Linked DNA regions of Notamacropus eugenii. The protein of the gene in region 1 binds, or shares a complex with, the protein of each later gene. Links are inferred from orthologs where the notes say so. Each region holds a gene or a part of one and is shown on either strand. Other genes may lie near its edges.

Region 1 (7,189 bases):
TTCCATGGCTTTATTTAAAAGCAACTTCCTCTTGGTGATTATAATTTATACTTACTTCAATGTTAATTTTAAAATAAAATGATAGGATTAAAATAGTCATCCCAGTAATAAAGTGTTTCAGGAGCAACATCTGATGTCCTAGATGCTTTACAAGAAAACATTCAGCAAAACACTGGAATTTCTGAAGCCTGGGTAAAGGCAGCTATGAACTGATTGGCTGGTAAAGCAGATATGACTGATAACGGCATGGAAACTTCTTTGCTGATGTAGTGATGCTAATCAGGCAGTTACTCTACAGTATTTTTTCAAGCAGGTGGAAAAAAAGCTGTTTTAAAAGTATTGAAGTCATCCTTACTAATAATGGAGTAAAGGTTATAGGATGAAATGAACAGAAATTTGCCAGGCAGAAAATTGGAAATATTAATGCACATTGCAAACTCAGCTAGAGGGCGCCACTTTAGAAAGACTGCACCACTTAACTTCTATTGAGTGTCACTAAAGTACTTCCTGGCAAACTTCTCAAAATGGGTGTGGTCCTTCATCAGGAAACTAATTAGGAATAATTCTGTCTTTATTTTTAAATAATCTTTTCTGAAATAACTGAGAGGCCAATCTCAACTCTCAACCACACCTTCCCCTATTTAAGTAAAATTATCATTCTGATGATAAGTAGGTCCATGGTAATAAATCAAAACCCAAAGATCCATACAGCAAGGATGTTTTCTTAACTAACAACTGATATTAGCCACATAACTTTTCCATAAACTCCAGATGTCCCAAATCCAAAATTAGCTCTTTTCAGTTCAATATCTGTTATTAAGCTAGCCTCCTTAAGCTAGCACCATGAAGGCTATGATATAAGGGAGAAATGCGGTATACTCTGACAAGGCTTTTCATTAATCTTTGGTGTCATATTTTCAAAATGTTATTGTTAGCTTCTAAGACTGGAACATTTGTCAACTTAGGTCAATACAAAGGTCATCCTCTCCATCCTATAAAAGATTCCCTGGGACCTCTAGGGGACTTCACAAATTAACTTTTTAACTACATAAAATTAAAAACCCCAAAATGGGAAAAATGGAGGACATTTTAAGAATTCTCAGAGTTCCTTTAAAAGGAACAATGTCTCATTTCATCTATTTTAAATAAATCACCTGAAATACATTGTAGACATAAACAAACTTTTTTGGGGGGGAGGGGTGGGCAGAGTATAAATGAAACTGTCTAAGAGGTTTTTTTTTCTTTTTTTGCCTAACATTCCCAAAAAAATACTAGGATGTTCTGAGTAAATTTTACAAAAATGACACTAGGAAGCAGACAGGTGATACTGTGAGAATAAATCTTACTAGCAGTCTAATATAAAACCCTAGGCCCCATTCACACCATCACTGACCAGTGAATGAATATTACAGAAGTACCTGCTGTATAAAGTATAAAAACTGCTAGCATCCACACATCACTACATACTTCTTTGTAGAGCAGAGAGATGCACGTTGTAAACCAGCATTAGGGGCCCTAAACCAAAACTGCCACATGAAGGATGTTACTGATCATATTTTCAAAGCCTTTTTTTCTTCTCCCAGCAATTCTGTCTGGTCCAGTTGTGCTTCATGACCCTACCTAATACTTCTCTGTTTTGGATATCTGAAGCCCAGTCTCCTAGCCAGTTTCCTATCCCTTGTGCCACGCTGCCTATGTTCCGCTCAGGAATATATCTGCCTTTTCTGCATTCCCATCACCACCCTATCTTTCCCCCAAACCCCATCATTACCCTATCCAGACTCTTAGTGTAAAACTATCATCTCATTTCCTCTTGCGTGCGAGCTGTCACTGATGAAAACATCAGGAAAGTGGCCGAGGGATTCCACTCTCCAGGCAGCCTGTCTGCGCAGTGCCCCGCAGCCCAGTGCACCCAGCGGGCAGGCCTCTTACTTTTTATCTGCCCTCTGACATCCCTGTCCTCGCTGGAGTGCTCTTCCTCATAATGGGACTGGAGCTGGTAAAAAGACTGCAGGTCCTTGAGGCACAGAGGGCACAGGAAGCCCTCCCTGACCTCGCCAGGGTCATCCAGAGAGGCCATGGTGGCCTGGCACTTCCAGAGGACAGGTCACTGCATGTCCAGGAGGGAGCCGGCCTCTCAGCAGCGCAGCTCGCCCGGGGCCGGCTTACACAAGGCAGAGGCTGGGGAAGGGCATGGCCCCCCGGGGGGGGTTTCTGGTCAGCCACAGAAGGAATCCTGCAAATAAACGGGAAGAAAGCCAGGTGAGAGGGGGCCGGACACCTGGGCTGCATCTGAACTCGGGGCAAGCTCCACCACGGGCACGGCCTCCCACTGTGCCCCAAGGACCCCCCCCCCCCCCCAAGAGCTTTGATTTGGGCGTGCTCTGCACCGACAGTTACTGTAACTGGACATTTACAAGTCTCGGCACTGTCGCCAAAGTCGTTTTGGCCTCCAAGTCCCAAAGGTTTTGGGGGCCCCCAGCAGACCCCACTTTTGAGAACCCCTGGTGTGGACTTGACCCCACCCAAATAAATAAGAGGAAGGCTTTTTCAGTAAGAAACACATTCTTAAAGCACCTGGAACTTGGAAAGATAAAAGCGCGCTTAAGCCTGCACCCCGCACCCGCACCCCGCACCCCGAGCGCTCGGGGAAGCGCGGCGGGCCCGGGGAGCCCCTTCTGCCTCCGGGGGCCCGGAGTCTGCCCCGGCCGGCCTCAGACCCCTCGGACCGGGGCGGGCTAGGCCCACGGCCGCGAGGCTGGAGGCGAAGCACCCCCGGACCTCGGCCAAGGGGGGGCCCCCCATTCTCCCACGGAGGTCCCCGAGGGACCTCCACCCCCTCCCCAGGATCCGCCCAGGGAAGGCTGCAGCGCTGAATGAGGGGTGACTGACGGACCCCCCCCCCCCCCCACACACACACACACAATAAATACCCTCCCCCCCACACACACACACCCCCGCGCCGACACGCCCCCTCCCCTTTCTCCTCCCAGAGCTCCCCTCCCCCCCTCCAGCCTCACCTCCCGCCCCCCGCGGGTCCCTCCTCCCTCCCCGAACGGCCCGCGATGCGATGCGGGGCGGAAGGAAGGGGCGCACTCAGTACCGCTGCAGGCCTGCGACCAGTGCCGCCCACGGGGCCGGGGGCTCGCCCCTCCTCCGCCTCTCTCCCCTCACTGGGCCCGGGCGGCCATCACGCATCCATGCCCTCGGCCCTCGGCAAGAGAGCCTGCGCGGCAGGCAGGGCAGGGACGCATTCATCGAGCACCGAGTTATCGAGCCACCCCAGGCAGGGAGGGAGCGAAGCTAGTGTCTGCGTGAGCTGAGCCTCTGCGCAGGCGCCGCGGGAGAATTGGAGACGAGGCGTGGGGAAGGAAGAGGGCGGGGAAGAGGGAGACCAGGCTTGTGGTCGCCGCCGGCCCCGCCCCCCAGGGGCAAGGCAGAGCAAAAGACAGCCCCCCCGCCCCGCTCCTGTTAGAGATCTACACACACAGGCATCTGTAATTAAGTGGGCATGGGTTCTCCTTGTGTAGTTCATTGATTACATCTAGGTTATAGAGTCATATCCTAATTATATAAGGTTCTCTATGTCATTCTGCAATTGTATATAGGGGGCGGTTATGTAGACATCACAACAGTCCTATATGGTCATGCCGCTGTACTTCTAGTCATGTAAGTAAATAAGCATACCTAGAGAGGGTTACAGTTACAAGGAGTTATACGGATGTACAGTTGTAATAGTTGTAGGACATGTGTGTATGTGTGTGTATATGTATGTACGTATACATGTATCAGACTTGGCAGGGAGTCCTAGCGAGGAATGGAGCTGGGAACAGCAGCAGCAATGGTCGTTGGCTGCTGAAGACTTGTGCATCACATGACCTCATCCCCAATACTGTCTTCCCTTTACCTAAACCAATAAAACTTCATGGATGCGCCCTTGCGGCAGATACTGGCATCTAATAGACTGTGTGATTGTAAGGAGAAGAGACAGACAAGATGTGAGAGTGACAAAGGCAATGTGTGGTGCAGAGTGCTGGACTGATCATAGACTTATCCTTTCCAAGCCAAATATTCACATTCATCAAAACCGCTGACCCCAAGGAAAAATGACTACCAGAAGAATTAGTGTCAACAAATTAGAGTTCTCTGAGCGTGAACAGTTTGTTGCTAACTTGGAGGGAAAGTTGAGCCACACATAGTTGGCAACAGTGGAGCAGAAAAGGAGTGGGCAGCTTTCAGAGATTTGGTGTACAGCACTGCATTTGCTCTTCTGGGTCAGAATATTCACAAACACCAAGACTGGTTTGACGAAAATAATGAGGAAATTCAGAAGCTGCTAAACGAAAAACGAGAACTCCATAGGATTTACCAGCAGGATAGTTCATCCAGCTATAAGAAGGCAGCATTTAATTTCATCAAAAGTAAAGTACAAGCAAAGCTTAGAGAGATGCAGGATTCCTGGCTCAGTAGGAAGGCAGATTAAATTCAATTTTATGCTGATAGTAACAATCCAAAGTGCTTTTATGATTCCCTGAAAGCTATCTATGGACCAAAAACCTATGGTGCATCACAACTACTCAGTGCTGATGGAGCCACATTGATTAGTGATAAGGACATGATCGTAGAGAGATGGACTGAACACTTCCTTAGTGTTCTCAACAGACCATCATCAGTCAATGATGAGGCCATTGACCCTTTGCCTCAGGTTGAAGTCAATCCCTCCTTAGTTGAACTTCCAACTGAAGAAGAGGTTTTGAGAGCCATTAGGCTCCTTTCATGTGGCAAGGCACCTAATGCTGATTCTATTCCAATTGACATTTACAAGGTAGGGACACCATTGCTCATACAAAAACTGACTGAAATTTTCCAGGTTATATGGCAAGAGGAGGTTATTCCCCAGGAGTTCAAGGATGCCTCCATTGTCCATCTCTATAAAGGAAAAGGAAATAGATTGTCCTGCGACAATTACAGCGAGATCTCTCTCTTAGTCGTTGCTGGCAAAGTTCTTGCTAACGCCTTCTTAATAGGCTGATCTTTCACCTGGAAGATGGTCATCTACCTGAGAGTGTGACTTCAGAAAGGGCTGAGGAACAGTTGACATGGTGTTTGCTGGCCAACAACTCCAGGACAAATGCCAGGAGCAGAACAGAGGTCTATATACAACATTTATAGATCTGACCAAGGTCTTTGACACTGTTAGTCATGAGGGCTCGTGGAAAATTATGTCAAAATTTGGTTGCCCAGAGAAGTTCATCAGTATTGCACATCAATTTCATGATAGCATGTTTGCCCGGATTCTGGATAGTGGACAATGCTCTTGTGCCTTCGCAGTCACCAAAGGAGTGACAGGACTGTGTAGTTGTTCCCATGCTTTTTAGCATGATGTTTTCAGCCATGTTGTGAGATGCTTTCAGTGGGGATCAACACGACATCAAGGTCAACTACCATACTGATGATAAGTTCTTCCATTTGAAAAGGCTACAAGCCAAGACCAAAGTGGAGAGAGTGTTGGTGCATGATTTTCTGTTTGCAGATGACTGTGCATTCAATGTAGTCTCTGAAGCTGACGTACAACAAAGTATGGATTAATTCTATACTGCCTGTGCTAATTTTGGCCTAATAATTAACACCAAGAAAACACAGGTGCTCCATCAGCCACCACCACACCATCCATTTGTAGAACCATTGGTTACAACAAATAAAGAAGTTTTGAAGGCTGTGGATAAGTTCACTTACCTTGGTAGTGTACTTTCCAGGGATGTACACATTGACAATGAGATTGACATGAACATTGCCAGAGCTGGCTCAGTGTTTGGGGGTCTCCAAAGAAAACTAAGGGAGAGAAGAGGTATTAGACTGACTACCAAACTGAAGGTCTACAGAGCTGTTGTGCTGACCTCATTGTTGTATGCCTGTGAAACATGGACAATCTACCAGCGCCATGACAGAAAACTGAATTGCTTCCATTTGGACTATCTTAGGAAGGTTCTGAAGATCACCTGTCAAGATAAGGTACCAGACACTGAGGTCCTTGCTCAAATTAAAGTGCCAAGCATTCAAACTATGCTTCAGAGAGCGCAACTCCAATGGTCTGACCATGTTGTTTGAATGCAAAACGTACGCTTGCCAGAAAGACTATTTTATGGAGAACTTGCATGGGGCAGGTGATCACATGGTGGCCAGAAGCAACGACACAAGGACACCCTCAAGGTCTCTGTCAAGAACTTTGGATTTGAGTGTGCCACATGTGAGACACGGGCACAGGAATTGAAACAGCACAAAGGAAACATAGGACTCACAAATTTGGAGTAGACACTCCAAATGTTCACACAGATTATCTGTGCCCAATGTGTGGTAGGGTATTCTGAGCTTGTATTGGTCTGATCAGCCACAGTCGGACATATTGAAACTTGACTTTATCACAGTGATGTCATTTTGGTCCTCCAAGAATGAAGGAGAACAACCAATGAGTTATATATAAATCTAGTCCATGTCATTGTAGTTATAGTTATGTAGGTATACAAGCATATATATATATATATACATATATATATGTAGTTATGTCATTGTAGATAGCTCTATAGATATGTATAGTTAGATATATTTTCAGGTGTAGTCATATAATTATCTATAGTCCTACATATAGGTGTATGCAGTTAATTGTTCAGTCAGTTCCACCTCTTCATGACCCCCATTTGGGGTTTTCTTGGTGGAGATACTGGAGTGGTTTGCCTTTTCCTTTTTCAGGTCATTATACAGGCAAGGAAACTGAAGCAAACAGGGTTAAATGACTTGCCCAGGGTCACACAGCTCGTGAGTGTCTCAGGCCAGATTTGAACTCATGAAGAGGAGTTTTCCTGACTCCAAAGTCTAGTGCTCTCTCCACGGTGCCACCCAGCTGACCCTATGTATATATAATTATATAGCAGTGGTTATATAGTTACCTAATTATGTAATTATGTATAGATATTTAATTACATATAGTCCTATATAGTTATATAGTAGTCCTTATTTGGTTATATATAGTTATGTAGCTCCATAGTTATGTAAATATACGGGCATATTTAGGTATATAGTTATTCATAGTTTTGTAGTTATATGGTTATATTTGTTCTATGGTTTCTATAAATCTATAGTTATATATACAGGTATATAGGTATATAGTTATATATTATAGGTAGTTATATAG
Region 2 (7,919 bases), on another chromosome or scaffold:
TTGCTTGGTGATCTTAATAGCTCCCCTGGATTCAATTATCACCTATCTTTTCCCCCAAATGTATCCTTCTTCCGTAACTTCCCTATTACTGGTGATGGCACCACCATCATCCAGGTTCACAAGCTAATATACTACCCTTAATTTTGCATTCTCTCTCAAACTGCCCCCCCCCCCAACACAATCAATTCCCAAGATCTGTCCATTCTATGTTCCTAACATCTCTCATATATATACCCTGGTCTATTCTCTGACACTGTCACCATCCTGAAATAGGCCTTCATCATCTCATGCCTGGGCTATTGCAATAGTTGCTGATTGTTCTCCCTGCTTCAAGTCTCTCCCCACTCCAAACTACCACCATTCAGCTGGCAAACTGATAATCTTCCTATACTACAGGTCTGTCCATATCACTTTCCCCACTCCCATTCAATAAAGTCTTTCACTGAGTGCTTTCACTGGCTGTCCCCAGTGTTCAGAAGCTTTCTTCCTCCTCGACTCTACCTCCCGGGTTCCCTGGCTTCTTCCAGAAGCCTTCCCAAGTCCTACTTAAGTACCTTCCTTATGAGAATATTGGCAACTTATCCTGTATATACCTTGTTTATACAGAGTTGTTTGTATGTTGTCTTCCTCATTAGACTATGAGCTCCTTGAGAGCGGGAACTGTTTTTTTTACCTTTCTTATATCTACAGAATTTAGCACATTACTTGGCACAGAGTATGCACTTAACAAATTCTAGTAAGTACTTCTCATGCTTACAACCTCTAGTAACCTGAAGCAAATCACTTAGCTTCCTCTGGCTCTCAATTTCTTCATCTGTAAAATAAAAGGATGGAAATTCATTGCCAAAGTTCCTTCTAGCCCTAGATCTATGACCCTATAATTTTTTGATGATAACTTCCCAGGAAAAAAAAAATCCTGTTTTATTTTCTTTGCCTAATATTATGCCATTAATGGCAATATTAAGGCAGGAACTTAAACATTTTTTACTTGCTATTTTCTAGATGACATTTTCAACCACCTTATTTTCCCTTTCAAAACTCATTTTCTAATGTAAAAAAGCAAACAGGAAAAGTAAATTATAGATTATAAGGGTGATAGTAGATAAGGAAAATATGAATATGAAATGATGGATTTGTACATAATTTAAATAGCAAATATTACATCTAAATTCAATTAAACATGACAGGAGTAAAGGAAGAGATTTAGTTATATTTGAAGTACTGTACTCAATTTTTACGTAAGAACAAAAATAATCCCTGTATTTCCTTTGGAACCTCCCTTCTTTCTCCATCTTTGCTTCACTAAATCATTCATAATTTACATTATCATTTCACTTCGACTCTCCTACTCCTAATACCCTTTGACTCAATTCAATAAAAATGTAGTACTTAGAATTAAAGGTAAGTAAATTAAGACTATTTTAAAAGATCTAAGATCTCATTCATTTAAGAATGCAACCTACACCTTCTCATCTTGTGCAATTCTTGTCCAAGTCTTTCTGTAAATTCTGCATAGAGGATCTCTCCAATGTAGTGAATGCCTTCCTCTGGGTCTGCTAAGAACTAATTTAGCTATCATTAGGAGGCTGGCCTCTTTAAGAAGAAAATATTTTTGATTGACTACAAAGTGTAATGAAAAACCACAGAGTACCTCAGCTCACATACCACCTCTGAGGTTTAGTACATGTGTGAACCTGGGCAATTTATTTAACTTCTCTTGGCTTCAGCTCCCTTTTCTGTAAAAAAAAAAAAAAAAAGGGGGGGGGGGGGCTGTTGTAGATGACCTGTTAGGTTCTTCCCAGTTCTAAATCTTGTGATCCACGACGAAACATAAAAATATCAGAGTGCTTCTCAGTCTTGTAGTTCCACCGAGAAGGTGGGAAGAGGGTGCTAAGAATTACAGAACCAATCCATGTTAGTTGGCAAAAAAAAAAAAAAAAAGCTTACTTGTGGAATCTACCACCAGCCTGTTATCCAGACAGGAGTTGGATCACTCAATCACAACCTCTAACAGCACCAGAAACTAATATAGGGCAAAGTAACTACCGGATATAAGCAGGAATTCTTCCTCCGCCTTCTAAGAGTCGAACATTATACAGCGAACTAAAAGCAATTCGGTAACTGGTGAATGTGCCAGCCCAGTACCCAGACGACCCTATAATCCTATAAAGTGGTTGCAGAACAGGTCTCCCCTAGACTATCTGACAATGGCAAATTCTCTACTGTTGAACATCATCCAAAAATCCAAATCCCAAAGTGCGACGGTCTACCTGAACAGGTGGCTAATCAAAGAGATCAATTCCTTCAAGATGCGAAAGAGACTTGGAGACACTGATCACAGTTTATGTAGGGAAAGGCTCTGCACGTGGAGGGCGATGACGGGAGGAGTACACAAAACTGGGGGGGGGGGGGGTAGATTCATTCTAGAATAGCCTGGGGCCCCAGGACGCCCCCCCCCACTCAGGTGCCCCGCTGGGGGCACCAATAGGACCAGCAGAGGTTAGACTGGCTTTCCACACCCGGGGGAGCCACGAGCCCGGGAGCAAAACTAGAGATAAACTTAAGAACTCCACATCAGGGGAATCCGGGGGTGCAAACCCCAGGACAGCCACCCCTTCTTGCACCCGCGCGCCCAGTCTCTCGCCTTCTCGCGGTCGGGCCTCCCCCGCCCCCCACGACGCCAGGAGCTCCGGGGAGGGGTCCCTCGGACGGCCCCGGCCCCAGGCCCGGGCGCGCCGCCACCTCCCCACCTTCCCCCCGCGGCAGCGCCGCTCCGGCCCGGGGGGGACGGTCCCCGTGGCGGCCGTTAACGTCCCAACGACGCGGAGGCCCCGGCTCCGCCGGGAATGCGCCCCCCGCTCCCTCGGCCTCCCCGTACCGTAGGTCTCGGACATGGCCGTCTGCGACATCTTGGGAAGCGGGCGCCGCCTCTTCCCCCGGTCTCCGGCTGCAGCTCGGGGGCCGGGGGGTGGGGGGTGAGGGAGAGGGCAGGAGCGGGAGGTCAGTGGCGAGAGCGAGGTCTGACCGGGGCTGGGGAGTCCGAGGAATTGGTGGGGTGGAGTGGGGTGGGCGGGGAAGGAGGGGCGCGGCCGGGTCCCCACGGCAACCGCCAGCCACCCCGGAGCCGCTCCTGCTCAGGACCGGACCGCGGGGTTCCGCGCAGGCGCACACCGCCCACCCACCTCCCTCTCTTCCCTCCCCTCCCTCCCACCCCTAGAGAGATCGGGGAGGGGCGGGGCCTGGCTGGGGCGGGGAGGAGGAGAGGAGGGGTGGAGGGAAGGTAGTACTCGGAGACCGCGAGCCGGGGGAGCCCGACCGCCCAGCCTCTCTCGCGCCTGCGCACTGGGCGCGGGAGGGCCTGGGGGCGGCCCGCGAAAGCCCTGGATCACCAAAACAAAGAGCACGTGCGCGAAACTCCATCCGGGGCCGACCGTCTACAGGAGACTCGGGGAAAGGGAGGGAGGGGCGGCGCATGGTACACGCCCCGGGCGGAAGTTCCGAGTGCCCGAGGTCAGAGATGGAGTCCTGAGGGGGAGTGACCCTTCCCTAGGTGGGTGACTGACAGGGGCAGAATACCCTGCTAGGAAGGATGGCGAGGCTCCTCCTGGGAAAGGTGCGCAGGTGAGGAGGAGGTTTGTGTGAAGGCGAGACGTGGGCAGGACCCTGCCTTGCTCCACTCTGCGTCCCGCGTGTTTTACGTTGACTCTCTCAACAAAGTGTTTGCACGTTCTGGTCTTTACTCTGCTGCCCTGGTAGCCATGCAGCTGTACTTCACGTACACGTATCGATTGTCCACAGTGTGCCAGGCACTGTGCTGTGCATTGGGAATTAAAAGATAACAGTGAAAACAGCCCCTATCCAGGATGGGGGGAGGGGAGAAGCGACACGTTCATATACAGTTATGTTAACAATATATAGATAGAAAATTATGTTGGTGGAGAAGGATCTAACGGATGGGGAGGTGGATCCAGAAAAACCTCTTGTAGAAGGTGGTACTTAAACTGAGTCATGAAAGAAGCAAGGAATTCCAAGAAGTAGCATTAAAGAGGGAATGCTTTCCAGCAAGTGCAAAAGTAGGGTGATATGTAGTGTACAAAGACTGTCCAGTTTGCTTCTTGGATGAGGTAGAGGCCACAGTGTAAGTAAGGAAAGCTAGAAAGTTAGGTTGAGGCTAAGTTGTGAAGAGCTTTCAAGGCATATTTAGGGAGCTATTCAAGTTTGTTGGTTAATGTAGGTTCCCATGCAGGTGGCCTAAATGCAGAGGTGCTCATAGGTATGCATTGATGTGATCTGTGGGCTGCAGAAGGCCCTGCCTGCACTGCCCCAAAGCTAGCTGGAGAAAGGAACAGGCAAGGTCTGAGACAGCTGGTCAATTTCTCCTCTAGTCTCCAAGAGAGGTATCAGGCTAGAATCATCTTTATCTGCTACCCTCTCAAATATCAGGTATATGAGTTTAAAAGGAAAGTCAATTTCATGGTTGCTCTTAAGGGAGATTGTAACCCTTAGCTTGTATTCTCCAGTTTCTCACCAAATACTCATTGCACAAAAGACTGGCACAAATAGCAAATGGTGAGTAAATCCATTTATCCAAGTAAATAGCAAATAGAAATCGGAGAAGTTATATAGACTAAAATATGGCAAAAAATACATAAGAGTGAATAAGTTTTTCAGCTAGGAAACTCAGCTTAGACTAGGGAAGTAAGAATAATCTCACCCAAAAAACGTTCATTCTATCTATCCCTAGAATGTTAAGCAAGTCCAGAGAAATGCATGGGGCTGGCTTCCCGCCTATGTCTGCTAGCCCAAAAACTTTCTCCTTCTCCTCCATGGAGTTTCTCCTCTTCAAAAGTGATTGGAACCAATTCAAAAATTCCCTTTTGCTGATCTGAAGCATTATGCTCAGCTTTTTCTCAGCTAATTAATTAGGAGCCTCATCAACTTGCACATGCTCAGTAGCACACATTATACCTCAAACTTGGATGACTGGAAGGATGGTGGTGCCTTTGATAGATATAGGAAAAATTAGAAGAAGGAATAAGTTTAGAGGGAAAGATAATAAGTTCTGCTTTGGATATTATGAGTATGGTAATGTGGGACCACCATCTCTCTTAGGAGAGAGATTAGGGCTGGCTTTATAGATATGGGAATCATCTGTATAGATAAGACAATTAAATCCTTGGAATCCTATTACAAGAAATCAGACTGATAACAAGAATTATCCCCACAAAACATCTGACAATTTTTTCTTTGTCATCATCACCACTATAAGATGATATTTGTTTAGTGTTTACCAAAACAAGATGAAGTAAGTCCATTATCCCTTCTCAAAGTATTTACAATTTAAAATATGCCCAAATATAAGTTGATAGGTAAATATGAAGTATCTAAAAATCAAGAAATAAGAGTCAAGTTCCTGTATTTTTCAGCATAGAATAGACATTTACTGGCTCCAAGAAGCTGTAGCATGCATAGAGGCTATACTACAGTAAAACCATGTAGGCAGAAGGGCTAAACCAGATCAGGGGTAGCCTCAAATCCATCAGCGAATTAGGAGATGTCTACTCCAACCATGTTCAAATCCACTGGTGAATTAGGAGATATCTACTCCAAGTATGTGGAATGGGAGAGTAAGAACAATTTGTTCCAACTGCCATGAAGGCAGTTTGAAGCAGACACTGTGAAGCACTTAGAGCTTGGTCAGATATCGAAGATGCCAAGGTGATCCACTGCATCCTGGACCATCACCAGTCATCCTGACTTTTGTTCTGCCACTGGACTTTGATGACTCAGGTAGAGAGTGAGCCTGACTTGGCGCATCTCTGCCTCACTTCAGTCCAGTTCATGAGTCCGTGATGTCAGTGGTCCTCTTAGAAAACAAAGGATAAACAGCAACAAGGTATTTATTTGCTGTTTACACGATGTCACTGTGAATATGAATTAGATACTGTATTAGGAAAAATCTTAGCCCTTTTACACTTAGGAAAGATATCATTTATTAGATGGGGAATCTTGAAAAAGTTGGCAATTTAGAGAGTGAGGAAGCAGTGATAAGAGAGTTACTTGTCTAGGCAGTCACAAGTAGTAGTAGATAAAAGATGTGAGAAGGTTGTGATGCCTCAGCAATTAACCTGGGGTGAACTGGTAGCAATGGGTGGATGCTTCTGGATTAGAATCCAGCACACAGTAGTTGCTTAAAGTTTATCAGTTGGATTGGGGAAGTTAGATTAGGGATTTGGCATAGTATAGTGAAAAGTGGAATAGGTTTTAGATAGAAGATGTGGATTTGAAGCCTGGTTTTGTCTTAAGGCAAGCCTTATAAGCTCTATCACTTTCTTCATCTGTAAAATAAGGGAGTTAGACTAGCTGATCACCATAGTCTTTCAGGTGTGAATACTATCTTTATCCAAAGTCCGAGAGACAAACATAGAAGGGAGAGGAGTGTAAGCAGCTGATGATAACTAATGTTTATATGGTGCTTTAAGGCAGGCTGCACAGCATTTATTGCATGCTTCCTATATGCCAAGCACTGTGTTAAGGGCTGAGCATACAGAGAAAGTTAAGACATAGTCCCTGTCCTTAAAGAGGCCATTCTAATACCTTATAATATAGTTGTCAGGGTTGACCCATCAGTCAGCTGGTGGCAGTATGAAATTCATGGGTATGAAAAATAGCACTTGTGGGTCTTTGATAGGAAACAGCTTGGTTTCCGTGTGTGTGTGTGTGTGTGTGTGTGTGTAAGGGGAGGGAATATAGTTGAGAGCTTAAGGTCTCTAACTAAGAATGATAAGGATCACAACTGTGATTAAATACTTGTATGTGTTTGTGTCATCAATGTGGGTATTCTCTGCAATGATCCTGATCACAACTGATCCATGTCTGCCTATCCTGTGAATCTTGTCCATGTCCTCCCATAATTTTAGCCCAGTGGGTCCATCTAATTCTTTGATTTCTCTTGCCATCATGGAGATACCCTTGGAACACATGGCTACCCATCAGTCATCTATTATTGTTGCCAAGTGACCAGACTATTTTTTTTCTTTGGACATCCTTTAGTCTGGTTCTCTTTTCTAACTTCTTGTTTGCATTGTGTTAGCCTGCTCATATCTCTCCCACCCTTTAAAAGAAAACAACCATCTATCATCCTGGCTATCTATTGTCCTATGCCTTTCCTCTCTTTGCATGTAAACTACATGAGAAAGGTGTCTATACTAGTTATTTCCATGTTCTTTCTCACTGTCTTCTAAATCCTCTGAAGTCTGGCTTCTAACCTCATCATCCAAGTCAGTCAATAAGCGTTTTTAAATGTGTGCTCTGTGCCAAGCATGGTGCTAAGCACTGAAAATGAAAAGAAAGGTAAAAGATGGTCCCTGTCCTCAAGGAGCTCACAATTCAATTGGAGAGACAAGCTTACACATACAAATGAGCTACATAAAGGATAAATAGGAAATAATTAACAGAGGATAGGCACTGGAATGAACTGAAACTGCTCTTTCTCCAAGTGATGCTATTTGCCAAGTCAAATGGCCTTTTCTTAGTCCTCATCCTTCTTGACCTCTCTGTTTTTTCTACATTTTTGAGATGCTACTTTTACCTGTCAGATCACTCTTTGGTGTCCTATGCTAGCTCTTTATTCAGGCCATATCCATTAATGGTGGTTGTCCCCCAAGGCTCTATTTTGAGCTCTCTTTTCTTTTCCCTCTGTATCAGGGGTTATTAACCTGGGGTTCATGAATTTGTTTAAAATTTTTTTTGATAACTATATTTCAATAAAATTAGTTTTGTTGGTTATCTTATGTATTCTGTTTTGCACATTTAAAAAACATTATTCTGAGAAGGCATCCATAGGCTTCAACATACTGCCAAAAGGGTCTATGAGACACACACAAATTAAGAACCTTGCTTTATACACTTAGTGAGCT

The links. Proteins that work in one complex are often made in the same cells at the same time.
Region 2: the proteins of RBSN (region 1) and RAB4A are in contact, whole or in part, in a crystal structure (PDB 1Z0K), measured with the Homo sapiens proteins. The link is inferred for Notamacropus eugenii from reciprocal best matches to the Homo sapiens genes RBSN and RAB4A. Residues at the interface, in NP_001289307.1 of Homo sapiens: Glu441, Gly442, Trp443, Leu444, Pro445, Ser447, Glu454, Pro458, Leu459, Gln461, Gln462, Asn465, Ile466, Phe469, Asp480, Glu481, Thr484, Leu485, Asn488, Leu492, Glu495, Gln499; in NP_004569.2 of Homo sapiens: Tyr10, Leu30, His31, Ile34, Glu35, Ile46, Gly47, Val48, Glu49, Phe50, Gly51, Ser52, Lys53, Lys63, Gln65, Trp67, Arg74, Phe75, Ser77, Val78, Ser81, Tyr82.

Annotation. Positions count from the first base shown.
Region 1 is NC_092874.1:431,153,461-431,160,649, forward strand, and holds the start of RBSN (rabenosyn-5), read right to left. Parts: upstream 3,253-7,189; 5' UTR 3,104-3,252; exon of another isoform or gene 3,021-3,103; intron 2,237-3,020; 5' UTR 2,081-2,236; coding exon 1,933-2,080; intron 1-1,932. UniProt on the Homo sapiens protein: Rab4/Rab5 effector protein acting in early endocytic membrane fusion and membrane trafficking of recycling endosomes. Required for endosome fusion either homotypically or with clathrin coated vesicles.
Region 2 is NC_092873.1:388,919,261-388,927,179, forward strand, and holds the start of RAB4A (ras-related protein Rab-4A), read right to left. Parts: upstream 3,257-7,919; 5' UTR 2,910-3,256; coding exon 2,879-2,909; intron 1-2,878. UniProt on the Homo sapiens protein: The small GTPases Rab are key regulators of intracellular membrane trafficking, from the formation of transport vesicles to their fusion with membranes.